7 linked regions of the Macaca fascicularis genome follow. The protein of the gene in region 2 purifies or fractionates together with the protein of the main gene of each other region. This does not show direct contact. Links are inferred from orthologs where the notes say so. Each region holds a gene or a part of one and is shown on either strand. Other genes may lie near its edges.

Region 1 (4,048 bases), on a different chromosome or scaffold from region 2:
GACCGCATGGAGGGGAACCCCATCTGCATCCAGATTCCCTGGGACCGCAATCCTGAGGCCCTGGCCAAGTGGGCCGAGGGCAAGACAGGCTTCCCTTGGATCGATGCCATCATGACTCAACTGAGGCAGGAGGGCTGGATCCACCACCTGGCCCGGCACGCCGTGGCCTGCTTCCTGACCCGCGGGGACCTCTGGGTCAGCTGGGAGAGCGGGGTCCGGGTGAGTGCTCTCTCAGCGAAAAGCTGGCCTATACCCTCTGGTCAGGACCAGCAAAGGGCAGCCCCCTTCTGGGCTGAGGGATGGGGTGGGATTTCTGGGTCCAGGAGATCCCCTCCAGATCCTCTGTGGCTTGCCTTCAGCAGAAGGGCTCTGGCTCCTGGGGGCACTGTGGTGACTTGGGAAAAAACATGGCAGCAGATCCCCAAGGAGGCTGATCATCCTCTCCCCTATCTAGGTATTTGATGAGCTGCTCCTGGATGCAGATTTCAGCGTGAACGCAGGCAGCTGGATGTGGCTGTCCTGCAGTGCTTTCTTCCAGCAGTTCTTCCACTGCTACTGCCCTGTGGGCTTCGGCCGTCGTACGGACCCCAGTGGAGACTACATCAGGTGAGGATGCAGACCACGCTCTCTGGCTTCTGACCACTGTGGCCTCCTACTAGGATGGGATACCCAGGGCCCTTTGAAGGAGGGTCTAGGTATGCTGATGGGTCATCTGGTGTGTCTTATTTCAGGCGATACCTGCCAAAATTGAAAGGGTTCCCCTCTCGATACATCTATGAACCCTGGAATGCCCCAGAGTCAATTCAGAAGGCAGCCAAGTGCATCATTGGTGTGGACTACCCACGGCCCATCGTCAACCATGCCGAGACCAGCCGGCTGAACATTGAACGAATGAAGCAGATTTACCAGCAGCTCTCGCGTTACCGGGGACTCTGTAAGGACACAAACACCTAGCTCACTGAAGGGAAGGACAGCACCTGCAGGCTCGGGGGTGCCAGATGGGGATGGCCAGATACCTGCAAAGGGAGGCTGAGTGCTGTCTTTCAGGTTGACACCTTCTCTGGGTATGGGACACTGCAGGCTGGGATGGACTGGGCCTCCCTGAGTAGTTGTGGGGCAGTGAGAAGAAATGGAACCTCAGTGTCTTGCTCCTATCCTCCCCACCCCAGCTTGCTTCGTCCTTCCCTGTAACCCCCTGCAATCCTGCGGGATGGCACTCTGATTACTCCCCGCCTCTCTCCCAGGTCTACTGGCATCGGTCCCTTCCTGTGTGGAAGACCTCAGTCACCCTGTGGCAGAGCCCAGCTCGAGCCAGGCTGGGAGCGTGAACAGTGCAGGTGAGCAGCAGCAGCCCACCTCCAATGGCCTCCTGTGGCCTGTGCCAGCACTTCAGTCATTCAGGACTGAGGCCAGAAGGAGGCCTTGCCCAATGGAGCTTATATTCCACCCAGGGCAGTCAGATAGTAAAGGAACCAAGTCGGATCATTTCAGATAACCAGTGCTTTGGAGGAAAAGAAAGTCAAGTGCCTTGACAGAGGGACTGGGAAAGAAAAGTTTCTTCTGTGTCACTTGAGATTGGAGTAGTCGGGGAACACCTCTGTAAGCAGAGACCCACGTCATGAGCAGTAGCCAGGCCTGCCACACACTGAGAAAATACCATTCCAGACAGAAGGAGTAGCAAGAAAAAGCTCATAAGCAGTACCAAGCTTAGCCCATTCAAGGAACCGAAGGGAGGTCAGTGTGGCGGCATGTCCCAGTGAGGAGCTGGGGAAATGAGGACAAGATACAGCATGAGCAGCATGTGGCAGGCCCGATATCCAAGACGAGGACTAGGATTCAGCCTTCAGTGCACTGAAGGATGGTCAGTAGGGCAGGGCATCATTGGACTTAGGTCTGAAAAAACTCCCTGGCCTGCTGGGTAGAGATTGGACAGTGTAGGCCAGAGCGGGCATAGGGAGGCCAAAGAGGAGGCAGCACAGACAGGGTGGTGGCCACACAGAGAACGACTGGACAGATTTGCTGCATTTGGAGCCTCCTCCCTTCTTGGGGATGAAGATGAGTAACATGAGATGGCACGAACACGGGTTTTTCTAGTTGGGCCAGCTAGGCTGCCTCCATGGGCAGCATGCCTCCTTCTCAGGGGCCCTGCTCTTTGCTGCTCAGGGAGGCTGATTCAGGGTTGCAGAGGGAATGCCTCACCTTCAAAGCAAGGACAGCAGGCAGGCCAAGTCAGTCTCTGGCCCATAGCCCATGCCATTTGGGGCCCAAAAGCTGGCCCTGCTACCAGCAGGCCTGCTCGGTCATGTTCTCCTTGCACATTTCCAGGCAAAGTCACTGCTGAAAGCAAGGCCGAGGGGCAAGTCTGAGGAGCAGCATGCTGGCATTCCATTGATGAGTGTGCTACCTGTCCCCTAAAGACCGCTGCTGCATAGTGTGGGGTCAGTTTGGCTGCATGCACAGTCTGTGTGACCCTTTGACACGCTTCCCTACAGGCCCAAGACCACTACCCAGTGGCCCAGCATCCCCCAAACGCAAGCTGGAAGCAGCTGAGGAACCACCTGGTGAAGAACTCAGCAAACGGGCCAAGGTGGCAGAGTTGCCAACCCCAGAGCTGCCAAGCAAGGATGCCTGAGAGTGAGTGACAGCAGTCTAGATTCAACCTCAGGAAGGAAGGTGGGAGCGGGGGTGCCTACTGCCCTGCCAGCTGAAGGTTAAAACATAACAAACTAGATGAAAATCTGGTGGGACCACCCAATGCTCAGCCACTAAAGCTTTACCATTTTACAGTGGCAGCCGGGTTCAATCCTGGCTTAGGGAATGAGTACTTTCTGGATCATATCCGTGTGACCCTTACCATTGGGCCTGCTGTGGTGGCTCGTGCTAGGATTACTAGCACCTTGGGAGGCCAAAGTGGGAGGATCGCTTGAGGCCAGGAGTTCAAGACCAACCTGGCCAAACCAACATAGTGAGACTCCATCTCTAAAAACAATAATAATAATCTGGTGGGACTGCATGACTTTTAGGATTTCAGCTCAAAAATCCCACCATTCTGACTTTTATCAGAGATTTAAAAGTCAAGCCCTTTTCTGTTTTTTTTTTTTTTTTTTTTTTTTTTTGCTAGCTAAGGGAAAAAGGGAGGCATGGGGGCGAGGGGTGGCACTTTCTACCTATTAAAGTGAGTCATGCTCAACAAAAAGAAAGCTGAGACCTGTGTGTGAAGCAGTGGGGAAAAGGCCCATTGCAGGGTCTGAGGCTGCTCCAGGCCCCCTGCTCTCCGACAGGCTGTGTTCTGTAGGCCAGCCAGTGGAGGGCAGCACTGACCTTGAGAAGCCTGGACAGAGGGCTGTGCTGTGTCTCACTCGGTCCAGCCCTGCCTGAGGACCAGTAGACGCAATCTGTCATCATCTTTGCTTTTACGGCCTCTCCTCCCTTCTCACCCGTCCTGTGGCCTCAGCTCTGCACCTCCCTGGCAGCGCTCATCTTGGAAGCCTCCCGAATGTCGTCAAAACACTGGCTTCTCCTTTCCCAGAGCAGGAAGGGCCTTTTATGCCCCTCTTGGGGAAATGTAATTTCCTGTCCCCTCTGAGTCATCGTCTCAGGCTGTTCCTTATGCACCGTGTCTTCGTCATGGAGGGTGACTTTTCTCCATGGAGCTGATAGGTTCTTTTTATCAGATCCCTCTTTCTTCAGGGGCCAGGCTGCAGCCATCTGGTTTGAGTGTCTGGATTTGTGTGCTCACTGAGATGGGCATTTGATGCCTGCACCCTTCACCTTTTCCGGGCTCTTTGACATAGTCATTGCTGATGGACAGATGTGTGCTGTCTTGTTCCTGGGAGTACCAGCAACCTGCTACTCTCTCGGTTATCTCTTAGCTCTGTGATACTAAGCAAAGTTCATCCTGTATTACAAATTTGGAACTTGCCAGGCTGACACTCTGATTTTCGGATGAGAGGACCAAAGAACAGAGAGGTTAAATGTCTGGGTCAAGGTTGCTTAGTAAGTTAATGGTGTCCAGTTCAACATGAAATTGTTGCCAGCAGGTGGGTGA
Region 2 (4,670 bases):
CCCAGGCTCCTGTAACTCAGAAACTGGGCAGTTCCGACTGCCTGTGCCTCATTAGTGACTGACGGTGGTCTGGCCGGTGGCATCTCCTGTCTCCAGGCCCTGCTGTGTGACTTCAGGAATGGACACCTGCCTCCCCCACCCGACCTCCGGCTGTTTGGAGCTGAGGGGTGGAGAGGAAGGACTTGGGGGTGGAGAAAGGCGGGCACCACTGCGGGGCCTGCGGGGGCTGCTTTCCTCTTCTGCAGTGACCTGGACGGGCTGAGGCTGTTGTCTCACTCACGCTGTGGTGCCCACACCAGAGCCCTGGTATGCTACTGCCTCAAAACACACATTCACCTGTTTCACGTTCTTGAGTTTCAGCGAGGATGTGACAGGTCTCAACATACATGGACGTGGGACCATGGGTACGGGTTCTTCAAGGTCCCCATGCACCGCAGCCCAGGGGGCTTGTCTGAAGGGCTTTCTTCCCAGCGATGGGAATCAAAGGCCCCAATCTTTGAAGCTGGCCATCAGCCTGAACGTCCACTCCTTGTTTTCTTTTGCAAGGAGGAACATTCAGAACCAACACAGATAAGAATGTTGACTCGGTCTCCAGGCCGCAGGGACTGGCGGGAGGCAGGTGGTCTGGCCTCGTATTGTGAAAGGTGGTGGCTTTGCCCTTGACCTCCAAGTTGGACATCAGGACCTCCGAAGGCGTGGGCCCGCTCTGTCTCTGGCCTTAGGTGTCAGGAGGTAAGGCTGCAGACGCTGACGTCCTGGGATGCCCCAAGCCCGGGAACTGGTAGCCCAGTGAGGGGGTCTCCCCTGTGTCCCCTGAGCCTGGCCTGTCAATCTGTCCAGGCCTCAGCTACCTGTCCCCTCCTGCAAAAGGCACCGCCTGTCGCGAGGAACTCATCTGGCTTCCTCGACATCTCGGGGGACACACGAAAAGCCCCCGCGAGAGCAGCGGGAGACTGCAGGTGGAAGGGGCTGGCGGCCCGAGGTCCAGGGGTAACGGGACGGTGCGGGGCAGAAGGGCTTGGCCCTGCGCAGAGTTGGGAGGAGGCCTGGAGCGCTCGCCCCGCCCGGCCCCGCCCCCGAGGGCCAGGCCCCGCCCCCGAAGCGCCGCGGCCCCGCCCCACCGGGTTGCTAGGGGAAGTGACGTCACAGCGCGATGGCGGCGGCTCCTTTAGGCAGCTGAAGGGGGATTTAGGCCCGGAAGATCCGAGTCCATCCGCGGCGGGGAGAGGGCAAGCGGGGTCGGCAGGGGCCGGAGCAGCGGCGGCGGCGCTCGGACTGTCCCATCCGCCCCGTATTGAGGCGCTGGGAGCGGCGGGGTGACAGGAAAGCGATGGTGAAAGCGGGGCCGTGAGGGGGGCGGAGCCGGCAGCCGGACCCGCAGTAGCGGCAGCAGCGGCGCCGCCTCCCGGAGTTCAGACCCAGGAAGCGGCCGGGAGGGCAGGAGCGAACCGGGCCGCCGCCGCCGCCGCCATGGAGCTGAGAGTCGGGAACAGGTACCGGCTGGGCCGGAAGATCGGCAGCGGCTCCTTCGGAGACATCTATCTCGGTGAGGCCCCGCCGCCCCCGCCCGCCGTTCGAGGACCCGGGCCCGGCGGCTGCCAAGACCAATCGCGACCGCGGAAGGAAGTGGCGGCCCCCGCGGGGTCTGCGTGCAAGTCGGGGCGCCGCCGGGTCGTGGCCAGAACCCAACGGCCACTAGGCGTGCGCGGCCAGGGGTGGGGAGGGCAGTGGGGAGCGGACGTGGGGGAGGGGCAGGGCCAGGTCGGGGGAGCAGGGTCTGGAGGGAGGAGGGGACAGGGGAGCTGACCCGGGGTGGGGCATGGGCTCGGGGGCGCTGACCCGGGTAGGGGCAGGGTCGTGGGGAGCGGACCCGGGAAGGGCTGGGTGGGGCGTGGGGAGGCGGGCCTGGGGGAGGGGCAGGGCGGGGGTGGGGGCAGCGGGCCGCGGGCGGGGAGGGGGCAAGGCCGGGGCGGCGGAGCGGGCGTCGGCTTCCTCCACGCCTAAGGTCACCGCAGTAAACAAAGGCCACGGTCTTTCTTCCGCAGCCCGGTCCGGGGCTGTCTGGTTCCCCCCACAGAGGCTGCCCCTGCGTCTTGCACGCGTGGGGGAAAATGTCAGAAAGACCCAAATGCCTTGTGGGAGTGGGGGAGTGGCCCGGCTAGGAGCGGAGCTTGCCCTCCGCCTCGCAGCCGCCCTGATGACTGACCGCTGGGGGTTCTCTCTCGCCTGTGCCCCTTGGCCTTGGAGCGGTGACTGAGTGCAGATGAGCAAGGGTTAAGTTTAGGTGACGGTAGAGAAAGTCACCCAGGGTTAAGATGCTGGCGAAGTGAGAGGCAGATGAAGTAGTTGTACTCATGAGCTGTCCTTTAGACTATAACAGTCTCACGGTAGATTTCAAAAAACATGGGATTAGAACGTTCTGGGGTGTGTCATATTTACAATGGAAAAATATGCACATGAACACAAGTGTAATGAAAGGTTGGCTTAAATCTTCAAGTTTGTAATTTTTTTTTTTTTCCTTTTTTGAAACGGAGTTTCGCTCTTGTTGCCCAGGTTGGAGGGCAATGGCGCGATCTTGGCCTCCCAGGTTCAAGCGATTCTCCTGCCTCAGCCTCCCTAGTAGCTGAGATTACAGGCATGCGCTACCACGCCGGGCTAATTTTGTATATTTAGTAGAGACGGGGTTTCTTCATGTTGGTCAGGCTGGTCTCCAACGCCCGCCCGATCTCAAGTGATCCGCCCACTTCGGCCTCCCAAAGTGCTGGGAAGCCACTGCGCCTGGCGGAAGTTTGTAATTTTAAAGTAACAATTTTCTGCACTTGTCAGTGGGATTGTGCGGTGCACGAGTTATTCCAAGACCCCTTGCATTTGAGGATATGTAGCCTGAGGCGGTGTGCCTGCAGAGGGGCTGCTGCAGACCTTTGAGGGGAGCTGTTTTCTGTTCCAGCAGCCCTAGCTTTTGGGGCATTTGTCAGCCAGGGTCAGGAATCCCAAGGGATGTCAGTAATGCCTCTGGTCATACCGTTTAGATGAACCCACATGTGGACAGTACCCAGTTCTCATTCCCTTCCCATTTTTCACCAGAGAGAGAACTCAGGACCCGGTGGGCTGACAGCGTTAGGCTGAATCCATACATATGGGTGGCTCATACTTCGGGTGCCTGGTTAATCTGCCGGGTAACCCCGTCATATGCCATGTTGTTGCTTTTGAACCTGTACATATGCCTTAATGGCCTGCTGAGTAAGCAGGCCTTAGACATTTGGGTTTGACTGTTTAAACATTTATACCAGGTGGTCAGCTGGATGTGTTCTTGGCAGTGTTTTGGAAGTCAGGGTGCTTGGTAAATGGAAGTCGTTTGGCTTATTTATAGAACAGTAGATTTTGGCGAAAGTTTTAATCCCAGGATCTGAGTTACACTGCAAAGCCAGTCCATTAACCACCTTTAGGCAGGCATCAAAGAGAAGTATTTTGGGCCAGGCGTGGTGGCTCACGCCTGTAATCCCAGCACTTTGGGAGGCCAAGGCGAGCGGATCACTTGAGGTCAGGAGTTCGAGACCAGCCTGGCCAAAGTGGCGAAACTCTGTCTCTACTAAAAATACAAAAATTGGCCAGGCGTGGTGGTGGCTGCCTGTAATTCCAGCTACTTGGGAGGCTGAGGCATGAGAATCACTTGAACCTGGGAGGCGGAGGTTACAGTGAGCCAAGATCATACCACTGCACTCCAGCCTGGGTGATGGAGTGAGACTCTGTCTAAAAAAAAAAAAAAGAAAGAAGTACTTTGAAACTATTTCTTCTCTTCTCTGAGACCTTGTCAAACAACTTTTGTGCTTTCCAAAGATAGAGTCAGACAAATTTTGGTGTGGTTGTCACCAAGTGATTCCAGAGGTGGAGGGTGGAAGGCTGTCTCCTCACTCAGCGTTCTACCCTCCAGGCCTCACCTCTCACTGGGCATACAGTCATGTTGGATACGGGATTGCAGGCGGCTGTGGCTCTGACTCCCTGGGGTTGGACCCCCCCAGACAGCCATCTATCAGGGTACACGTCCAGTTACTTGAGTAGGGTTGGGCACAGCTGAATTTTTTTTTTTTTTTCCGTCAGCATTGGCTCCTGGCCACACTGTGGTCCTTTCAGATGACCCCTCTGAGGAAATGAAAGGCGAGGTGGTCACGTTAGCCGGAGTAAGGCAGTTTGGAAGAAGCGTGGGTCTCAGCAGAATGGCAGTTAGAGTCAAAGATGGCTGATGTGAAGACCTTGAGATGGGTTGGTCATCCCCACCATAGTTTTGTTTGTGCAGCCAGTTAGACATAAATTGAGGAACTAGGTCTTCGTCTTGACCTCTGCGTGTCGTGTGTATTCTAGTGTGACTATCATTAAGACCATTCCTACTGTTGTCACTGTGGTGTCCTCCAGGTGGGGTTCACCTTGCTTTGAGCCTGGCTTTTGGGTTTTTGTTTTTCCACTGGGGACTTTCTGTGCTTTCCGGTGTTTGAGCCCGGGAAGGCGGGGGGAAGGCTGTGCTTCAGTGGAGTGCCCGTGGGCTAGAAGTGTGGTGTGGGCCTGCCTGCCCCGACCCTGCTGTGAGAGTTGGAGGGCAGTGCTGCAGTGCAGGACCCCACTGGGTTGTCGTGTTCCAAAATTGCCCCTTCAAAGGGGGCAGTATTTTGGGGCTA
Region 3 (4,048 bases), on a different chromosome or scaffold from region 2:
AACTACTGTCCCCGATTCACCTCTATTCTCCTTCACCCCTTCTTCTCTGGCCCCATTTTCTAGCTCCTCACCCTGAGTCTGCCCCTGGAGTATTGGTCAGTTTCTGGGTTTGAGCTTCTACCCTCTCTTTCAGGTAAACTATCTTCTGTTCATGCATGTTTGCAAGGTTTTCCTTTCACAAATCATTATCTCCACCGCCACATTGTCTCTGGCCAGCACCTGACCAGCATTTCAATTGAGTACTGGACTCCATGGAGGAGTCTGTCCTTTAAATAGCAAACTCAACATGGCCAAAGCAAAATTTCTTCTTGACTTCAAGTTTTTTTTCCTTCTTGTACTGTTTAAGCTAATTACTTCATTTTCTTTCCATTAACATCAACATAGTTTATTTTGTTTGATCGAGAACATATTTCCAGTTAATGAAGTCTGAATTGATGAAGACTTATGTACTTACTGTCTTTTAGATTATCATCTGTGGAAGACAGATCATCTGTAGTTACTTGTCTCAAAGCATAGAACTAAAAGTCGTTCAGCATTACATTGGTCAAGATGGACAAGCTGTAGTTCGGGAACATTTTGACTGCCTCACAGCCAAACAGAAACTGCCTTCATATATACTAGAAAACAATGAACTGACAGAGCTGTGTGTGAAGGCCAAAGGAGATGAAGACTGGTCAAGAGATGTGCGCCTGGAATCCAAAGCCCCTGAATACAGCATTGTCATTCAGGTTTGAAAAGAACTTCAATCTAGAGTAGAGCAGCTTTAACATTGAAATTTTCTCAAAATGTTCTTTACTTGTATAGCACTTAATTTATTAAAAAGTGATATATAAAAAAGGGGGGAGAAAGGCTTTGAATAGTACTTCTCAAACTGTTTACTCCCCATCCCATGACAATACATTTGTATCAGTTCCAGTAGTTCTTACAGCCAAGACTCTGTCCCTCCCAGATGCAAGTGATATCTTGAAAAAGATCCTGCTGCCCCAGGGTTAGGGGTAGGGTGGGACTGGGGGTGGTATCCTCCTCACTTAAGGATTTTTGTGATGGTCTGTTACTTTATCTCTTCCTCAGTCTTTACCATCATCACTTTCATTCCCATAAAGGATAAATTCTCTTTCATTTTGCCAGTCAGTCTTATATCTCTCCTTATGCAATCTCTTTGTCTTTATGGAAAGAGTTGGCCCCGTCGACTCACTGCACATTTGCTTTATGCCATAATGAAGTCTGTTTTTGCTTAGTTTTTTTTAAATAATGGCTTTTTCTCTATAACTTTAAACTCTTTTTAATCTTCCAAACGGATATATCTGTGCCTTATTTTGATTAATTAGTAAACTGCTTAGTACTCAATAGGACCCGTTTCTATTTCATGTGCAGGTGCCATCTTCAAACAGTTCCATTATTTATGTCTGGTGCACAGTTTTGACTTTAGAACCCAACTCTCAAGTGCAACAACGAATGGTGAGTGCTTTCCCAATCCTAAAATATGGTATATGACTCTGACCTTTCCTGTTCTGAAATAAATTAAGGTCAGAGTGACCTAGGGAAGAGATTTATTGCAAGTTTGTTTCAGCATCAAACAGCTGGAATACTGCAACAAAGCAAATATGAAAGTTGTTCTGTCCTTTTATTTTTATAGATTGTGTTCAGCCCTCTTTTTATCATGAAGAGTCATCTTCCAGACCCCATTATCATACATTTGGAGAAAAGGAGTCTGGGATTGAGTGAAACACAAATTATTCCAGGAAAAGGGCAGGAAAAACCACTGCAAAACATAGAACCTGACCTTGTACATCACCTGACATTCCAAGCAAGGTACTAGAAAAATCCTTCCCTACATTTTCCTAAGAGAAATTAAGTAGAAAAGTAACCTTGCACTGGGGAGGGTAGGAGGTGGGTGGGAAGATGGGGTGGAGGGAGTTTTTTGTATGATTTCTTATCTTATGAGAATGTTATTTTAAAATTGCCCTGCCTAGTGACCTCTTATTCTCATCTGTAGTTTTAGATAAAAATCAGCCTTTCTCATTAAGCATAGATATAATCAAGAGGAATCATCAGAAATTTTAATTTCTATTTCATTGACACATGACTTCTGTAGTGAAAGAAGATGTGAATAGAGATCAACACCCAGGAATTGAGGGGTGGGGGAAGAAAGAGGAAAAGCCAGGGCCCAGATCATCCACACACTGTCCCATAAATGGACTCTATCTACCAAAAAGGTGTTGGTCTGTAATACATGTGTAGTTAGATATTTTTCAATAAATTGTAGACCACTTTAGAAATCTGATATTTATTCTTGGTTTTTCTTTCGATTTCCTAGAGAAGAATATGATCCTTCAGATTGTGCAGTTCCCATCTCAACATCCCTCATTAAGCAAATAGCCACTAAGGTACACCCTAGAGGCACAGTTAATCAGATCCTTGACGAATTCTATGGGCCAGAAAAGTTGCTTCAACCCATATGGCCCTATAATAAGAAGGATTCTGACAGGTAACATTCTTCAGTGATCTTTTTCTACAAAAATTTCTCAATATTAACAAATGATCATTCACAAAAATATTAAATACCGTAAGTGGTGTGTGCATGTATGTGTCAGATTCTTACCTTTTATCATCTAGTAGGTGTATTTTGTAGATTTCTTTATTCATGATCTAGATCATAATTGCATGAAAAGTTGCTTTCTCCTGCATGCAAATTTAGAATTGAAAGATTCTGGTATGAGGAGGTATCATGCAGGAACATGGTGTGTTTGGAATCTTTAAACATATTTCACAAATATTAAAGTTATCATATTTCATTGAGTCTCTTGGATGTGGTGTTTGGAACAGGAATGAACAGCTAAGTCAGTGGGATAGCCCAATGCGAGTGAAGCTGTCAATCTGGAAGCCATATGTTAGAACTTTGTTGATAGAACTTCTGCCCTGGGCCCTGCTTATCAATGAGTCCAAATGGGACCTCTGGCTATTTGAAGGAGAGAACATTGTTCTACAGGTTCCTGCTGGCAAAATTATTATTCCTCCTAATTTTCAGGTACTAAACTTTTTTAATTAATATGAATTCTTATCTCTCAACAAGTAGATTTTATTGTAAAGTTGTGTTTATGATCTTCACAGAATGAATCAGTTGTGAAAAATTCTTCTTAGATGCATATGTAAGAGGTATGGAATGGTCTTTGAATATTCAAGGACTTTTCTGATGTCTTTTTTTTTTTTTTGAAAACCATCAACACTATTGGTGCTTGAGTTACCATTAAATTCGATAACTTGGATTAGTTACATTCTCATTCCATTGGCATAGGATATTTGACAAGTATTCGGGCTGGTCTATCAGTATATATTAAGGAAATATAGCCATCATGTGTGCTTATCCATACCCTAGGTATTCTTTGCTGTTCTTCAGGAAATTCTCTGCAGTCTGCAAGATACTGAGGATTTCAGAGCAACTGTTTTTGTCAGGGCCCCTTTTCCTTTATAAGTGGACTTGGATGTTCATAATTATGGATGTCTACCCAGTTGTTGATTATAACAATATGGAATGATTACTGACACAGAGAGAAACCTAATTGCGAACCAAAATATCACAGGAAGATTTTATATGCTGTCACAAAACCTTCTTCATAAGGCTAGTCTGTTTCAAGAAGACACACAAATCTATAAAAAAAAAAAAAAAAATAGAGTAAAAGGAACTCCTAAATACAATGTCTTTCTGATAGAGAACAATTTCAGAATCCTTTTTTGAGCTCCAGGTCATAAACATCTTTATTCAATTGCATTTTTTCTTTTTTTGTAAAATCAGATGATGTTACCTTATGGAATTGGAATGTTGACCTATGTGGACCTAATGTTAGATATTATTCTCTTGTCAAATGAGATGAAACCTTCAGTTTTTAAAGCCTTTGGTATTTACAGGGTAGTCACTGTTTGGGTTTGGTTTTCCCCTCCCTCCCGTAAATATGAATTCCATTGTGAGTACAAAAATAAAAATACATTGGGAGCCAAAATAAAATGTACGTTGCCATTACAAACACACACACACACACACACACACACA
Region 4 (4,634 bases), on a different chromosome or scaffold from region 2:
TTGGTGATCTTCCCACTTCAGCCTCCCTAGTAGCTGGGACTACAGGTGCACGCCACCATGGCTGTCTAATTTTTGTATTGTTTTTGTAGAGATGGGGTTTCACTATGTTGCCCAGGCTGATCTTGAACTTCTAGGCTCAAGCAATCCTCCTGTCTTGGCCTCGCAAAGTGCTGGGATTACAGGCATGTGCCACCATGCCCCTAAAGGGGACACATCAAGGGAGGTGAGTAGATGGAAAGCAGTTTGATTTGAAATAGCTGGGGAAATGATTATTACTTTTTTCCTTTTTTTGCCGGGAGACTCCCGGTGTTGGTGGATATAATCACTGTTTTCAATTTTTTGAAGAGCTGTCAAGTGGAAGACATTCTGTATTGCTCCAGGCAGCATAACTACCAGCAATGGAAGGAAATAAAGGGAAACAGATTTCAGCTCAGCAGGAGGCAGAACTTTCTAAGATTTAGAGCTGTCCAACAGTGGAGCAGGCTGCATTACTTGAGGGAGTGAGCTCCCTGAAATTTGAACTGTTGAACAAGATGACCATCTGGCTGAATGTACAAGAGGGAATTCCTGCCTGGGCGGCAGTTGCACTAGTGACCTTTAACGAGGTATCTTCCAATTCTAAGGTTTCTAGACTGTTTAACTCAGCTAACTTGACCTCTGAGTTATGCTGTTAAAAAAATTATTAGACAGCTCATCTATTGACTTAAATAACTGCATGGTCAAGTTTACGATAAGATTTTAGAAACTGAGAAGTGGGAAAGCAGGTTTAATACTTAAAATCCAGATACCATCCAAACCAATTAATTAATGGCACTTTGAACAAAAGGGAAGGGAGGGGCCGGGAGCGGTGGCTCACGCCTGTAATCCCAGCACTTTGGGAGGGTGAGGTGGGTGGATCACGAGGTCAGGAGATCGAGACCATCCTCGCTAACACGGTGAAACCCAGTCTCTACTAAAAATCAAAAAATTAGCTGGGCGTGGTGGCGGGTGCCGGTAGTCCCAGAGACTCGGGAGACTGAGGCAGGAGAATGGCGTGAACCCGGGAGGCGGAGCTTGCAGTGAGCCGAGATCGCACCACTGCACTCCAGCCTGGGCGACAGAGCGAGACTCCGTCTCTAAAAAAAAAAAAAAAAAAAAAAAAAAAAAAAGAAGGGAGGTTTGTGAGTGGTGTGTGCGTGTGTGTGAGAGAGAAAGAGAGAGACACGAGAGAAAGAGAGAGTCATTCTTTCGAATAATGTGTCCTGGGCAACTGAGCGTTGTCACAGAAAGCATAAAACGCTCTACAGTTTTGCTTTACACATACTTGCTCAGTCGGATTCTTCACTTCCAGCATTACTGCAGGCGGAAACCAGGGCTCAGGCCTGGTAAACAACCTTCCGGAAGACGATTCTGGACCCGGACACCCACTACCGCCTCAGCGGGCAGCTGACCTAGGGCTGCCTAAGGAGGAAGTGGGAGCCCCCGGCCTCCCGGGCGGAACTACCGCTCCCAGGGGCGCCCGCGGCGCCGCGCACGCGCGCTGGCGTGGCGGCAGCGCCGCTGCAGGACGTAGGGAAGCCAACAGGCGAGTGGCGAAGGTGGCGGCAGCGGCGGCGGGGGCAGTCACCGGCGAGGGCGACGGCTCCGAGGCCGAGTGGCGGTCCGGCAGAGTCCTCCGTGTCTTCATCCGCATGAGCCCCTTGGTGAGCGCGCGTCCCGATTTAGCCCGCGCGCGGTGCGCCGCTCCCTGCCTCGCGGCCGGCTTGCTCCGGCCTAGGGCCGCAGCCTGCCTCTGACGGCCGGGCCGTCCGGTCCAACTGACCCCGGGGTCCCGGGACCTTCCCGTCAGTGTCGGGCGAGGTGGGGGTTGGGGGACACTGGGTTAGGCCCAGGGGAGAAATGTGGCGGCGCGCAGGAGCCAGGGCGGCCTGGGGCTAAGGAGAGGGAGAGGCGCGTGGGGGATGGGATGGGAAGGGACTGGGGGACCGCCGAGCGGTCTCGGGTGGGGGCCAGAGACTAGAGGCCCGGCAGGTAGGGAACTGAGTACAGGAGGCGAGAACGAAATGGAATGTCTTTTGAGTGTCGCTGATAAAGATGTCGTGCTGCGGGGAAGCTTGACAAGCTGGACACATGGGTCTAGGGGCAGCCCACCTACCACAGACACTCACCATACTTGGCATCTTTCCTCTTGCTGTCGGAGGTCTGAAAGTGAGGTAGCTGTTGGTTATTTCCATCCCTTTCAACTTCACCTTTTATTGACTGGCAAAATTGTAATGGGTGCTGGCTAGGTAAACCACAGAAGTACACACAGGGTTCTGTGTATAAATGTGCATAAAAACAGGGAGACATAGTGATAGGTTCAGATGAGAACTAGGTCAAAGGAGGAATCAGTGTTTTTATTTTTAAATTTATGACGAAAATAAGTTCTGAGCAGGACTTTGAACTAGAGAGGGGTTTTAAACTGGAGTTCATTGACGGATAGAATTAGAAGGGTCCTTTCACTAGGATGATAAAATGACATCATTATTTTTATTGACTGCTATCTGAAACTTATTATTTCCTTCAGTTGTGAATGTGGACAACAAGCCAGAGTAGAATTAGCAACGCTTATGACTTTGTCATCAATAAAAATTACGGATATTTTTGTATCATATTTACAGTTGCAGACAGCTCAGAATATCATTTATGGTTATCACTTCTTTGAATTTCTGGTGTTACTAGACCCGCCGTTAAGACCTTGTTATTTAATGTGATAATAAGGCTGTACATATATTATTACCATATTAGTTTGTTAAGTTGTGTTGCTAATATTTCTGTATAATTGGCTTCCCTTGCAATCACATGTATTTAATTATGCATTTAAAAGAAATCTGAGAACGGGACCATAGGCTTCACCAGACTGCCAATGAGGTCCATGCACAAAAAGATTAAGAACTCCTGAAATACTATAGGGGGCTGAGGCGGGCGGATCACTGAGGTCAAGAGATGGAGACCACCCTGGCCAACATGGTGAAACCCATCTCTACTAAAAATACAAAAATTAGTTGGGTGTGGTGGCCTGTGCCTGTAGTCCCAGCTACTCGGGAGGCTGAGGCAAGAGAATCGCTTGAGCCTGGTAGGTGGAGGTTGCAGTGAGCTGAGATCACGCCACTGCACTCCAGCCTGTCGACAGAGTGAGACTCCGTCTCAAAAAACAACAACAACAAAAAAAACCCTCCTGAAATAGAAGTAAGTTTTTTTGAATCTATAAGTCTACTTAGAAGAACATCTGAGTCATTAAAGTCAGACAGGATGACAGTGTAGACGAAAGAGAATTTCATAATCAGGGAGATAAAAGATTTGGATGGGATCAGAGTAGCCTTTTTTTTTTTTGGTTTTGAGATGGAGTCTGGCTCTGTTGCCCAGGCTGGAGTGCAGTGGCGTGATCTCCGCTCACTGCAACCTCAGCCTCCCGGGTTCAAGTGATTCTCGTGCCTCAGCTTCCTGAGTAGCTGGGACTACAGGCACCCACCACCACGCCCAGATAATTTTTATATTTTTAGTAGAGGCAAAGTTTCACCATGTTGGTAAGGCTGGTCTCAAAGTCCTGACCTCAGGTGATCTGCCTGCCTCGGACTCCCAGAGTGCTGGGATTACTGATGTGAGCCGCCGCATCCTGCCCAGAGTAGTCATTTTGAAAGAACAGACCATAAATGTTTCATTCAGGGTAATGGGGAGTGAACAAAATAATTGGAAGAAGAAAGGGAAGTGAATATGTTGGCCTTTAATTTTTGTATTAAGGCACCTCCCCAGTTCCAAGTGATTGCAGCTCTGTAAGCTCTGATGTTCTGATGTAACCCTGTGAAAAGAAATTTTACTGTTTGCTGGTTTTCTTTAAATCATGGAGGTGGAATTTTGTTTTTTTGGGACGGAGTTTCACTCTTGTTGGCCAGGCTGGAGTGCAATGATGTGATCTCGGCTCACTGCAACCTCTGCCTCCTGGGTTCAAGCAATTCTCATGCTTCAGCCTCCTGAGTAGCTGGGATTACAGGAGCGCGCCACCACGCCCAGCTAATTTTTGTATTTTTAGTAGAGATGGGGTTTTGCCATGTTGACCAGTCTGGTCTCAAACTCCTGACTTTGTGATCTGCTCACCTCGGCCTCCCAAAGTGCTGGGATTACGGGCGTGAGCCACCGTGCCTGGCCCTAATTTTTCTATCTTTAAATGAAAAACAGGAGAATCTCTCTTGAAATATATTTTTTGGGCCAGGCATGGTGCTCATGCCTGTAATCCCAGCACTTTGGGAAGCCGAGGTGGGTGGATCACCTGAGGTCAGGAGTTCGAGACCAGTCTGGCCAACATGGTGAAACCCTGTCTCTACTAAAAATACAAAAATTATCTGAACGTAGTGGCAGGCACCTGTAATCCCAGCTACTTAGGAGGCCGAGGCAGGAGAATTGCTTGAACCCAGGTGGCGGATGTTGCAGTGAGCCGAGATTGTGCCATTGCACCCCGGCCTGGGCTACAAGAGCAAAACTCCATATCAAAAAAAAAAAAAAAAAGTGTGGGCGTGGTGGCTCATGCCTGTAATCATCCCAGCACTTTGGGAGGCCAAGGTGGGTGGATCACGAAGTCAGGAGTTCAAAACCAACCTGGCCAAGATGGTGAAACCCCA
Region 5 (3,957 bases), on a different chromosome or scaffold from region 2:
CTTTCTTTCGTTGTTTTCTGTCAGCACCAGTATTTAGTGTATGTAAGGAATACCGTAAGAAAAACAAGAGTTTACACAGGGTTTAATTGTATATGTTTGCGAGACTTATCTATGCAGTTGATAAAGCCTGAATTATTGTTTTACTAATAACTTTTGTATTTGTGTTTTCAGGTCTTGATGAATAAAGCAGTCATAATTTATCTCTAGGAAGATTATACCCTGGCATTTGAAATGCTTTTTATTTAGAATAGTAGTAAAAATGGAAAAAGAAAAAGGAAATGATGATGGAATACCAGACCAAGAGAATTCCTTGGATTTTTCTGAACACTTTAACCAACTTGAATTGTTGGAAACACATGGACACCTTATTCCTACTGGTACTCAAAGTCTTTGGGTAGGCAATTCTGATGAAGATGAGGAGCAAGATGACAAAAATGAAGAGTGGTATCGATTGCAAGAAAAAAAAATGGAAAAAGACCCAAGCAAATTGCTTCTTTGGGCTGCTGAAAAAAATCGGGTAAAAAAAAAAGATTACAGAAGGAAGTGTGACAGTAGGAATAGCACTGGGTTCAAGCCAGAAGGCCTGCCTTTACTGTTATGGCCGTCATACCTATCTCTTGATTGTGAGGACCAAATGAGACAATGTACATGAAAGCACATATTAAGCTGCAAAGTGTCATGCTAGGTATTATTTGGGGGTTTAAGGATAATTATCTAGAAAGATAGCAAGCAATCATCTATATTTTAAAATCATTTATATAAAGTCATTAGGATCATTTAGGAAAGAGGATGGAAACTAACATTTATTAAATACTAACTATACCAGGTACCTTATTACATTATTTAATCCTCATGTATCTCTATAAGTAATACTCTTCTCTTTTATAGAGTAAGAAATTGAGATTCAGGAATATTAATTTGCCCAGGATCATCCAAGTGGAATGAACATCAAAAGCCTATTCCCTCTGCTTGGCCACTTCCACCTAATTTTACTAAGTTTCCCCATGTCTGTTTTAGTAAACTAATAACTAAAAGGGTCTTGCATTTTAAATAGCTTTTTAACCCAAGAGCATGCCACATTTAACCAGAGGCCCATAGAACAAACTAAAAATTACAACCTTAAAGGATGTTTCTAAGGTTGTATTGAGAAGGAATTGAGCTCTTAAATCCCTAGAATTCCCTATTAATACTTTATTCTTTTGTTAAAAGTTTTATTTTTAAAAGTTTCATACAGTGTATATATTGGTGTGATAATCCAATAGAAAAATCAAGCAGTTATGTTTTCTTCACAGATAACATATAAAATATTAAATACAATTAAAACCTATGATATTCATTGGACTGAAGCTTTTATGCAATGAACCTTAGCTGGACCAGGAGTAAGGGTATGGTTTGATATTCAGAGAATCTCATTCTTAGAAGCAACAAAGTATAGTTAACACTAACTTGTTCATTCTCACACCAGTAGTCCTCTCCTCCCAAAAAAGAGATCTTAAATTATTTTCATTTTAAAGTCATCTGCTAACAAGTTTTTATTCAACCTAATTAAATCTAACACCACAAGAAAATTTTGTTTTGGTTATTGTTTTGGTTTGAGTTGAGTTGAAAGATTTCCATTTTTCTTCTCAGCTGACTACAGTGCGGAGACTACTTTCTGAAAAGGCCACTCATGTGAACACTAGGGATGAAGATGAGTATACCCCTCTTCATCGCGCAGCCTACAGTGGACACTTAGATATTGTCCGGGAGCTCATTGCACAGGGGGCAGACGTTCATGCAGTGACTGTGGATGGCTGGACGCCCCTGCACAGTGCTTGTAAGTGGAATAATACCAGAGTGGCTTCTTTCTTACTGCAGCATGATGCAGATATCAATGCCCAAACAAAAGGCCTCTTGACCCCCTTGCATCTTGCTGCTGGAAACAGAGACAGCAAGGATACCCTAGAACTCCTCTTGATGAACCGTTACGTCAAACCAGGGCTGAAAAACAACCTGGAAGAAACTGCATGTGATATTGCCAGGAGGACAAGTATCTATCACTACCTCTTTGAAATTGTGGAAGGCTGTACAAATTCTTCACCTCAGTCTTAACAATTCTAGTAATTTTCTTAAGTTTCTAAGTACCAGTGCCTCCTTTGTGTGAGATATAAAGTATTCCCATAATCAAAGTTGACGTCAAACATCTTACTACAAAAATTCAGTGATATTCATTATAACATTCTTCCAAGTGAATTGCCTGACTTTGATGTCAGAATGTATTTAAAAGTAATTTGCATATATATTTAATGATTTCTGTGGAGTTCGTGATTTTTTATCAGAACTAATTTTAATGTGTGTATACTTAAAAACTTGACACGGGTTGTACAGAAACTGATATTTTTGGTGCTGATCCAAGAGAGATGTATTTTTAAATATCCCACATCCTGGATCTTTGTTGAGTACTTAGTATATTGACATATATTTTTATAAGGTGAGGTAACTCAGAACTTAATTTAGAAGTCTTAAATATTCTGATACAATTTAGCTGTCTTCTCTACCTTACCATAGCCAGTTGCTTTCACTTTAAACTAGAGCAAGTAACGTATTAGTGGCTTGCATCTTCATAAGTTAAAGAAAAAAACAGCAAAAAAGCTAGATCTTTGTCTTTTAGAACACAGACCATTTTCAGGAAAGCAGTTAGCGAGGTGTTTAATTCATGAATATTGTATACTGCCTCCCCTACCACAATTTACACAATCCTGTGGATAGTCCTACCTCACCCTGGTCAACCTACATGATCCTTATGCTAATGGCAAATCACAATGACCTTGTAGACATGCACACAACTATACCTTTGTCCAACAGATCATAATATATCTGCTATCCAACTGGTTTTACATGCCTAATCCTACTGATTGGGGCGCTGCTCATATAGTCTCTCAAGTTCACAGGAAATGTTGATTTTCTAAGGTCCTCATTTTTACAAACTATACAAAGCCTAAGTGACAAGGGAAAAGGAATTAGTCTAAGAGTAAGGGGATGATGATTATATTGAGGCTAAAACCACAAAGTGGCTCAGGCTTAAAAAAAAAAAAAAACACTGTGGATAATGACAAAAAGCATAAGTAAAAATATTTGAGAAAAATAAAGTAGAAGTTTTCAACAACACAAAAGGCATGAATTCATTTTTTACCTGTGTATGTCTTTCTTGGATCCAGAACATTATTCATCCAGCGTGCACTTAGTTATTTAATATCTACTCTCTCAGTTTCTCCAGCAGCAATTTTGCATTGTGTACCTAGCCCCTCTGTGATTGTTCCCAGAGTTTTGTCTTCTCAACATGAGAACACTCTAGGGGAAGAGAACTAAACCAATTGCTCTTTACTTCAGTTAAATTTTTTAAATGTCCACCAAGGCTTATCTCTTTCAAGCCATCCTATGTAACCCAGTCACCCTAGACTAAGTAATAATGTTATTTAATGAAATATTAAATATTTATTTTTGGTTAGAACTTATTAGATGATCTCAGAAAAGTCAGAGATAATACATGAACTGAATCATCGTGGCAACAGGCTCTTGAGAGTTAGTGCTTTAGTTTATGTTGTGAGCTCTGCCTAGGGAGATGCTTTGTGGCAGAAAGAGGTTGCTTTCTGTTTGATCTGGCCTAAGTTAGTGACACCAAATGACAGGTACAGCTGACAGGCAGTGATGATAGAATAAGACCTTATTTATCCAAGCAGACTGCTGAATGAGGCTGCTTAGCCTGAAAGTCACAGAACTGATGGCTCCTTTCTCATTTGAGAATGGATTGCACCCATGATTTTCCATGTAAACTTTCCATTTAAGTATGAAGCCAAAGAAGTCTTGTTTCCAATAAGGACCTAAGATGTGTCTACTCCCTTGTTTTCAGACCTCAACACTCACTGATGCTAGAGAGCAAATTCTACATATAAGACAAATCCCACCCCTGAGGGCAGA
Region 6 (3,762 bases), on a different chromosome or scaffold from region 2:
TACCTGTGCCCCACCCTCTACCAGTATCCCCTCAGCTTGGGGTGTCCCTCAGTCTGGGTTGCCCTCTGTGAGCCTGGCTCAGCTGGTGTCCTGGAAGGCCTCCTGGGCATGGGCTAAACTTCAGCCTACCCAAGTCACTGACAGCCCCTTCCACAGTGTGTCCATTCTAGAGGGTAGGAGTGGTCCCAGTGCCCCCACCCCTAGTCATGTGTCTCCCTGCCCCTCCAGACCCCCGGCCCCAACATGGCCCGTCGCTCCCAGAGCTCCTCGCAGGGGGACAACCCACTGGCACCCGGGTACCTGCCGCCTCACTACAAAGAGTACTACCGCCTGGCGGTGGATGCACTGGCCGAGGGTGGCTCGGAGGCCTACAGCCGCTTCCTGGCGACTGAGGGGGCACCAGACTTCCTGTGCCCTGAAGAGCTGGAACATGTGAGCCGACACCTTCGGCCTCCACAGTATGTTACCCGAGAGCCACCCGAAGGCAGCCTTCTCGACGTGGACATGGATGGCTCCTCAGGTACATACTGGCCAGTGAACTCAGACCAGGCCGTGCCTGAGCTTGACCTGGGCTGGCCTCTGACCTTCGGCTTCCAGGGCACCGAGGTGACCACCTTGGTGCAGCCACCGCCCCCCGACAGCCCCAGCATCAAGGATGAGGCCCGCAGGATGATCCGTTCCGCCCAGCAGGTGCGCCATCTTGGGCTCAAGGGTAGTGGGGAGGGGCCAGGGCTAGAGGCACCAGGGTGGAGGAGACGCATGAGCACGATCAGCTTGGGTGAACCCTGAGCTCCAGCTGGAGCGGGGGTTCCTGGCAACAATCTTCAGGGCCGCCAGGTCTCGATCATCAGGGGCTACAGGCTCTGCACGGGTCTGCTTGCCCATGGTCATGGCCAGTGCCCAGAAATTCAGGGGCTCTGAGATGGGTGGGCACCGCCCCAGCCTGGGTTGATTGTTCAGATAATTACCTCTCATCCTGCCCGGTGGCCCTTGGCCAGCTGAGGGCTTCTAACCCTCACCAAACAGCTAGCAGACGGTGCAGGGTGCATCAGGTCCAGACGCTAAAGGCCCGTGACTTTCTCCCCTGCCCATGGCAGCAACCCTGTCCCAGGGCAGAACTGGAGCCTGGGACTCAGCCCTGACAGCTGTCCTGGAGTGGGGGCAGCTCAGCCGTCTGTAGGGTGGAGGGGATTTTGAGGTGCCCTTGCCATGCCCCCAGCGGGGCCCCATACCCCAACCTGGCCCACCCTCGTCCAGGGTTCTCTGCCCTGCACCTGCCTCGGCTCCCTCCTCATGGCCAGCCACTCCACACCTCTTCTCCTTCTGGTCCTTCTCCTTCCTCCTACCCATCTTCCAGACGCGGCCCCACTCCCAGGGATGGACTAGCTTGTTTCACAGTGGTTGTGGGTGATCCAGACGCCTCCTGGGCGTGGTGGGGAGGCTGGACAATAGTGTGGGGACAGCAGGGGCCTCTCCTCTCTGTCCTGACCCGCCCCTGCAGGTGGTGGCCGTGGTGATGGACATGTTCACTGATGTGGACCTGCTCAGCGAAGTGCTGGAGGCCGCCGCCCGTCGGGTCCCAGTCTACATCCTGCTGGATGAGATGAACGCGCAGCACTTCCTGGACATGGCCGACAAGTGCCGTGTCAACCTGCACCACGTGGATGTGAGTTCCCGGGAGTGGGAGATTGGGGAGGACCCGCGGCAGAGATCTGACTCCCCTCCCTCCCCAGTTCCTGCGGGTACGGACTGTGGCGGGCCCCACCTACTACTGCCGCACTGGGAAGTCCTTCAAGGGCCACGTCAAGGAGAAGTTCCTGCTGGTGGACTGTGCCGTGGTGATGAGTGGGAGCTACAGGTGCGCCCGCGAGCTTCCCTCACCCCCTTCTCTGGGGCCTCCTCCTGTAGCCCCAGCACCCCCTTTCCACACCAGGGCCCTCCTTGCCAGGAGCCCTTGTCCTGTATCCCTGCGTCCTCCCCGCCCCACCCGATGCCCACGGGGCTGCAGTGCCCTCGCTCCAGCTCAGTTTGACTCTGGCCCTGACCCCCCACAGCTTCATGTGGTCCTTTGAGAAGATCCACCGCAGCCTGGCACACGTGTTCCAAGGAGAGCTGGTCTCCAGCTTCGATGAGGAGTTCCGCATCCTCTTCGCGCAGTCCGAGCCGCTTGTGCCCTCGGCCGCGGCCCTGGCCCGCATGGATGCCTATGCCCTGGCTCCGTATGCCGGGGCCGGGCCCCTTGTGGGCGTCCCTGGGGTCGGGGCGCCAACCCCTTTCTCCTTCCCGAAACGAGCGCACCTCCTGTTCCCGCCACCCCGGGAAGAGGGCCTGGGCTTCCCCTCCTTCCTCGACCCGGACCGCCACTTCCTGTCGGCCTTCCGCCGGGAGGAGCCTCCGCGGATGCCGGGGGGCGCGCTGGAGCCGCACGCGGGCCTGCGGCCGCTCTCGCGGCGCCTGGAGGCCGAGGCCGGGCCGGCTGGGGAGCTCGCGGGCGCGCGGGGCTTCTTCCAGGCGCGGCACCTGGAGATGGACGCCTTCAAGCGGCACAGCTTCGCGACCGAGGGCGCAGGCGCCGTGGAGAACTTCGCGGCCGCGCGGCAGGTGTCGCGGCAGACGTTCCTCAGCCACGGCGACGACTTCCGCTTCCAGACCAGCCACTTCCACCGCGACCAGCTCTACCAGCAGCAGTACCAGTGGGACCCGCAGCTCGCGCCGGCGCGCCCGCAGGGCCTGTTCGAGAAGCTTCGCGGGGGCCGCGCGGGTTTCGCGGACCCGGATGACTTCACGTTGGGCGCCGGGCCCCGCTTCCCGGAGCTCGGACCCGACGGGCACCAGCGGCTGGACTACGTGCCGTCCAGCGCGTCCCGCGAGGTGCGCCACGGCTCGGACCCCGCCTTCGGGCCCGGACCCCGCGGCCTGGAGCCCAGCGGGGCCCCGCGCCCCAACCTGACCCAGCGCTTCCCATGCCAGGCCGCGGCGAGGCCCGGCCCAGACTCCACTCCCGAGGCGGAGCCGGAGCGCAGAGGCGGGCCCGAGGGGCGGGCCGGGCTGCGGCGCTGGCGCCTGGCCTCCTACTTGAGCGGATGCCATGGCGAGGATGGGGGCGACGACGGCCTGCCGGCGCCCATGGAAGCGGAGGCTTACGAAGACGACGTGTTGCCTCCCGGGGGCCGGGCAGCTGCCGGCGACCTGCTCCCCTCGGCCTTCCGCGTCCCTGCAGCCTTCCCCACGAAGGTCCCGGTGCCAGGCTCGGGCAGCGGCGGCGGCAACGGCCCAGAGCGCGAGGGCCCGGAGGAGCCCGGCCTGGCCAAGCAGGACTCGTTCCGCTCGCGCCTGAACCCCCTGGTCCAGCGCAGCTCCAGGCTGCGCTCCTCGCTTATCTTCAGCACATCACAGGCTGAGGGTACGGCCGGGACTGCGGCGGCCACAGAGAAGGTGCAGCTGCTGCGCAAGGAGCAGACGGTCAGCGAGACGCTGGGGCCCGGCGGAGAGGCCGTGCGCTCCGCGGCTTCCACCAAGGTGGCGGAGCTGCTGGAGAAGTACAAAGGCCCAGCCCGTGATTCCGGCGGCGGCGTGGGCGCCATCACCGTTGCCAACCACAGCAAGACCGTCGTGTCACAGGCATGGCGGGAAGAGGTGGCGGCCCCAGGTGGCGTGGGTGGCGAGCACCGCAGCCTCGAGAGCTGCCTCCTGGACCTGCGCGACTCTTTTGCGCAGCAACTGCACCAGGAGGCGGAGCGGCAGCCGGGAGCCGCCTCGCTC
Region 7 (4,048 bases), on a different chromosome or scaffold from region 2:
TAAGTTAGCTGGGTATAGTGGTGCATGCCTGTAGTCCTTGCCACTCGGGAGGTTGAGGTGGGAGAACTGCTCAAGTCCAGGAGTCTGAGGTTGCAATGAGCTATGATTTGCACCATTGCATTCCAGCTTGGGCAACAGAGTGGGACTCTAACTCATTAAAAAAAAAAAAGAAGAAAAGAAAAAGAATTGCTGTCATTCATTGAGGGCTTGCTATGCACTGTGCTCTGTTCTAAACACTTTATGTGCGTTATGTTATGTAATTCTTTAGCAACCCAATAATATGGTTAATGTTTTCACTTTACTGTAGCATATACTTACATAGGGTTTATTATGTGTCAGGCACTGTCTCTGCACCTTACTTATTCTACCCATTTTATAGACTAGGAAACAGGCATGGAGAGTTTAGCAGCTTGCCTAAGTAGTTGAGCCAGTCTTTCAACTTAGGAAGTCTAACTTATTAGATCCTGTGTTTTTAAACTATTCTATACTACCTCACTATAAAACAAATAAATAGAATGCTTTTCTATTCTCATCTTAATTTTATTTTTAAATTTCAAAAATAGAAAGTTTATACTAACAAATCTGAGCAATGCTGCAGAATGTAAAAGTTATTTACACACTCAAATTTTATTCCTGAAAGTCAACAGCCCTTAATTTCTTGATGTGCACTCTTCAGGACTTTTAAGAACGGAAAAAATTTTTAATGAGATACTATTTTTTTTCCTAGTAGTTTAGCAGACATTTAAAAACAATTACTGGCTGGGCATGGTGGCTCACGCCTGTAATTCCTGCACTTTGGGAGGCCGAGGTAGATGGAGATCAGGAGTTTGAAACCAGCCTGGCCAACGTAGCGAAACGCCATCTCTACTGAAAATATAAAAATTAGCTAGTTGTGGTGGTGTGTGCCTTTAATCCCAGCTACTCAGGAGGCTGAGGCAGGCTTGAACCTGGGAGGCGGAGGTTGCAGTGAGCCGAGATCATGCCACTGCACTTCCGCCTGAGTGACAAAGTGAGACGTCATCTTAAAAAACAAAAAACAAAACAAAAAATGATTGCTAATACATATTATTGGCAAGTGTGTGGAGATCAAGCACTTAGGTGCACTGCTGATGGGAATGTAAATTTGTACAGTCTTTCGGGTACCTAATTTGACAGCCTATCAGAATTTTGAATGTGCTTATCTTTGATCTATCAGTTGTTTTCCAAGGGATTATTTCTAGGAAAAAATTGGATAAATACCCTAAAATTTGTAAGATGTATGCATAAAGGTAAAGATATATACTGTAAAGTTTATAATAGCAATTTTTTTTTTTTTTTGAGATGGAGCCTCACTCCTGTCGCTCATGTTGGAGTGCGGTGGCACAATCTCAGCTCACTGAGACCTCCACCTCCTGGTTCAAGTGATTCTACTTCCTCAGCCTGCCCAGTAGCTGGGAGATTACAGGCATGTGCCACCACACCCAGCTAATGTTTTTATTTTTAGTAGAGATAGGGTTTCACCATGTTGGCCAGACTGGTCTTGAACTCCTGACCTCAGGTGATCCACCCACCTCAGCCTCCCAAAGTGCTAGGATTACAGTTTTGAGCCACCGCACCCAGCCTAGAATAGCAGTCTTTTTTAACCCACCATTGAAACAGCCCTTGTCTAATCAGGAGGTGTTTGGTGAATTATATAGTATGTTACCATATAGGCAGTTAAACAATGGTAGAACTTTTTCTTTATGAGATAAATCAGAATAGACTTAGAATTTAAAAAAAAAAAATTATGCTTAAGAAAAATCAACTAATTCCTTTAAGTCACAGTTTCCTCATTTAAAATCAGTGTAAAGAGATGTACAGAACTTACTAATATAGCTCCTGATAATAAGTAACTGCTATTATTATTACCATCTCCAAATTTTTCAGTTAACATTTTTTAGTAATCAGAAAGAAAATATTTACACACACACACACACACACACACACACACACTCACACACGACCTCAGCCAGGCAGCTTATACCATATCAACTATCAAAAGTTTGTCAAAGATCAGGTCTTAGACTCAACAGACATAAATTCAGGTGGTCTGGCTCTCTGTGAACTCTGGCAAATCCCTAAGTTTTAAAAATAAACCAAAATGGAAATACTAACCACAGTGCCAAACTCTGAGTGTTGTTTTGAGGCTCGAATGAAATAATGTAAGTATGAGTAATTTGAAAAAGTAAAGTGTTCTACAAACACATTTAGTGTAAGAGCTGGTTTTAAGCATATTGCTTTGCTAGATTGTCTGTTGCCTAGCATAAAGCCTGGAATCTAATGGGTTATGCATTTGTTACTTACGTATTTTTTAATTGATAAATTGTTTACTTTTTCCTGCATATTCAAAGTTTGATTTATGTATAATCATTTGATATGTAGATTTTCAGCTTTTTCACTTTTTGTTATGATAGAAAAAATAACTATTAAAATTGGTGTACATTGTTCCCCCTTCTGTTACTTTAGGAATGGAACATTACTAAACTTTCAATTGAGTATGATTCTGAGCCCTTTGGAAAGGAACGAGATGCAGCTATTAAGAAACTGGCAACTGAAGCTGGAGTAGAAGTCATTGTAAGAATTTCACATACATTGTATGACCTAGACAAGTGAGTTCTTTTTTTTTTTTTTTTTTTTTTTTTACTGTGAGAAAATGCATGTAACATAATATTTACCATCTTAACCATTTTTAAGTATATAGTTCAGTGATATTAACTACATAGATAAGTTTTTAACTGAGGTTTATGAAGTAGAAATGATAGCGTGTACTTCATAGAGTTTTGGGAGAATTAAGTGAACATATGTCAAATCCTTAGCATTTTATTTAGCCGCTATTGACCTAATGACAGGTCTCAGCATTTCTATTTCAAAACTATTATGGATTAAGACTGTTACAGAATTTTCCTTGACTACTCTTAACTCAGCCTCCTGTGGTCTTGCCTTTCTGGGCTCTTAGCATTATCAATTTTATAGTTATACATAGTTATAAATTGCCTTGACATATTTTGTATGCTTGTTTAATGTTATCTTATTTCATGTATATCTATCTTGTCTATCTGGATTTTAAATCCAGATACAAATTGGATGTAATATAACATTGCATAGCTGTAGTCCTCTGAACAATAGCATAATAGAATATTTCTCAAAGTGTATTTCTTCAGACACCAGTCCTTGGTGATGCTTTGTCCCACAGAAATTCTGTGGTCGAACTTAAATTTAGGGAGTATTGTATGCTATGAGTCTTAGAGGTCTATAAAACTTGTTAACTTTTTAAACTTTTGGCATACCATTGTCCTTTTAAGTACTGAAATCTTATAATTTATTTACCTTTTAAATCATTTTACTTTTTTAGTAATTTATAGATTTTATCAAGTTAGTAAAACAAATTCTGTAACATGACAAACTAGTTGATTTGATTTCACATTTTAAATGTATCAAAAAATCATGATTTGATTCAGACAAAGGTCTTACTTGATGCTAAGCTAGAATTCATGTATCTTTTGATAATAATCTTGCCTTAGAGCTCACCAATTTGCTTAACTTTAGGGAGCTCATAGCAAGGAGGGGGCAAAACAGGATAAAAACAGTTGCTTCTAGGTGGGAGACTCAGTGTTATGCATAAAATTAAGTGTTTAGGCCAGGCGTGATAACTCATGCCTGTAATCCTAGCACTTTGGGAGGCTGAGGCAGGTGGATCACGAGGTCAGGAGTTCAAGACCAGCCTGGCCAAAATGGTGAAACCCCATCTCTACTAAAAATACAAAAATTAGCTGGATGTGGTGGCAGGGGCCTGTAATCCCAGCTATTTGGGAGGCTGAGGTAGGAGAATCACTTGAACCCAGGAAGCAGAGGTTGCAGTGAGCCAAGATAGTGCCACTGCATTCCAGCCTGGGCAACAGAGCAAGACTCCATCTCAAAAAAGAAAAATTAAGTGTTTATTGGATTGAATGTGAATATTTACTATATGTAATCTATCATATTAAAATGTAACATATAGAAAATGTTTTGTCCTAAGATTCTCATTTTGCTA

Evidence for each region.
Region 1: the proteins of CSNK1D (region 2) and CRY2 purify together in Homo sapiens (affinity purification with mass spectrometry; 3 studies listed by BioGRID and IntAct, counting the BioPlex papers as one, with this or other methods). This does not show direct contact. The link is inferred for Macaca fascicularis from reciprocal best matches to the Homo sapiens genes CSNK1D and CRY2.
Region 3: the proteins of CSNK1D (region 2) and VPS13B purify together in Homo sapiens (affinity purification with mass spectrometry; 3 studies listed by BioGRID and IntAct, counting the BioPlex papers as one, with this or other methods). This does not show direct contact. The link is inferred for Macaca fascicularis from reciprocal best matches to the Homo sapiens genes CSNK1D and VPS13B.
Region 4: the proteins of CSNK1D (region 2) and GAPVD1 purify together in Homo sapiens (affinity purification with mass spectrometry; 5 studies listed by BioGRID and IntAct, counting the BioPlex papers as one, with this or other methods). This does not show direct contact. The link is inferred for Macaca fascicularis from reciprocal best matches to the Homo sapiens genes CSNK1D and GAPVD1.
Region 5: the proteins of CSNK1D (region 2) and ANKRD49 purify together in Homo sapiens (affinity purification with mass spectrometry; 3 studies listed by BioGRID and IntAct, counting the BioPlex papers as one, with this or other methods). This does not show direct contact. The link is inferred for Macaca fascicularis from reciprocal best matches to the Homo sapiens genes CSNK1D and ANKRD49.
Region 6: the proteins of CSNK1D (region 2) and FAM83H purify together in Homo sapiens (co-immunoprecipitation; 5 studies listed by BioGRID and IntAct, counting the BioPlex papers as one, with this or other methods). This does not show direct contact. The link is inferred for Macaca fascicularis from reciprocal best matches to the Homo sapiens genes CSNK1D and FAM83H.
Region 7: the proteins of CSNK1D (region 2) and CRY1 purify together in Homo sapiens (affinity purification with mass spectrometry; 3 studies listed by BioGRID and IntAct, counting the BioPlex papers as one, with this or other methods). This does not show direct contact. The link is inferred for Macaca fascicularis from reciprocal best matches to the Homo sapiens genes CSNK1D and CRY1.

What each region holds. Positions count from the first base shown.
Region 1 is NC_088388.1:19,990,645-19,994,692, reverse strand, and holds part of CRY2 (cryptochrome-2), read left to right. Parts: coding exon 1-219; intron 220-454; coding exon 455-606; intron 607-731; coding exon 732-934; intron 935-1,244; coding exon 1,245-1,337; intron 1,338-2,492; coding exon 2,493-2,632; 3' UTR 2,633-2,634; intron 2,635-4,048. UniProt on the Homo sapiens protein: Transcriptional repressor which forms a core component of the circadian clock.
Region 2 is NC_088390.1:88,701,272-88,705,941, reverse strand, and holds the start of CSNK1D (casein kinase I), read left to right. Parts: upstream 1-1,414; 5' UTR 1,415-1,470; coding exon 1,471-1,546; intron 1,547-4,670. UniProt on the Homo sapiens protein: Essential serine/threonine-protein kinase that regulates diverse cellular growth and survival processes including Wnt signaling, DNA repair and circadian rhythms. It can phosphorylate a large number of proteins.
Region 3 is NC_088382.1:109,439,739-109,443,786, forward strand, and holds part of VPS13B (intermembrane lipid transfer protein VPS13B), read left to right. Parts: intron 1-464; coding exon 465-728; intron 729-1,374; coding exon 1,375-1,458; intron 1,459-1,636; coding exon 1,637-1,812; intron 1,813-2,317; coding exon 2,318-2,488; intron 2,489-2,826; coding exon 2,827-3,028; intron 3,029-4,048. UniProt on the Homo sapiens protein: Mediates the transfer of lipids between membranes at organelle contact sites. Binds phosphatidylinositol 3-phosphate. Functions as a tethering factor in the slow endocytic recycling pathway, to assist traffic between early and recycling endosomes.
Region 4 is NC_088389.1:18,794,837-18,799,470, reverse strand, and holds the start of GAPVD1 (GTPase-activating protein and VPS9 domain-containing protein 1), read left to right. Parts: upstream 1-1,550; 5' UTR 1,551-1,682; intron 1,683-4,634. UniProt on the Homo sapiens protein: Acts both as a GTPase-activating protein (GAP) and a guanine nucleotide exchange factor (GEF), and participates in various processes such as endocytosis, insulin receptor internalization or LC2A4/GLUT4 trafficking.
Region 5 is NC_088388.1:93,486,994-93,490,950, forward strand, and holds the end of ANKRD49 (ankyrin repeat domain-containing protein 49), read left to right. Parts: intron 1-171; 5' UTR 172-259; coding exon 260-517; intron 518-1,629; coding exon 1,630-2,091; 3' UTR 2,092-3,152; downstream 3,153-3,957. UniProt on the Homo sapiens protein: Induces HBG1 expression. May have a role in spermatogenesis where it promotes autophagy in response to serum starvation, via the NF-kappaB pathway.
Region 6 is NC_088382.1:153,387,099-153,390,860, reverse strand, and holds part of FAM83H (protein FAM83H), read left to right. Parts: intron 1-228; 5' UTR 229-243; coding exon 244-690; intron 691-1,501; coding exon 1,502-1,666; intron 1,667-1,733; coding exon 1,734-1,858; intron 1,859-2,054; coding exon 2,055-3,762. UniProt on the Homo sapiens protein: May play a major role in the structural organization and calcification of developing enamel. May play a role in keratin cytoskeleton disassembly by recruiting CSNK1A1 to keratin filaments. Thereby, it may regulate epithelial cell migration.
Region 7 is NC_088385.1:113,900,984-113,905,031, reverse strand, and holds part of CRY1 (cryptochrome-1), read left to right. Parts: intron 1-2,484; coding exon 2,485-2,627; intron 2,628-4,048.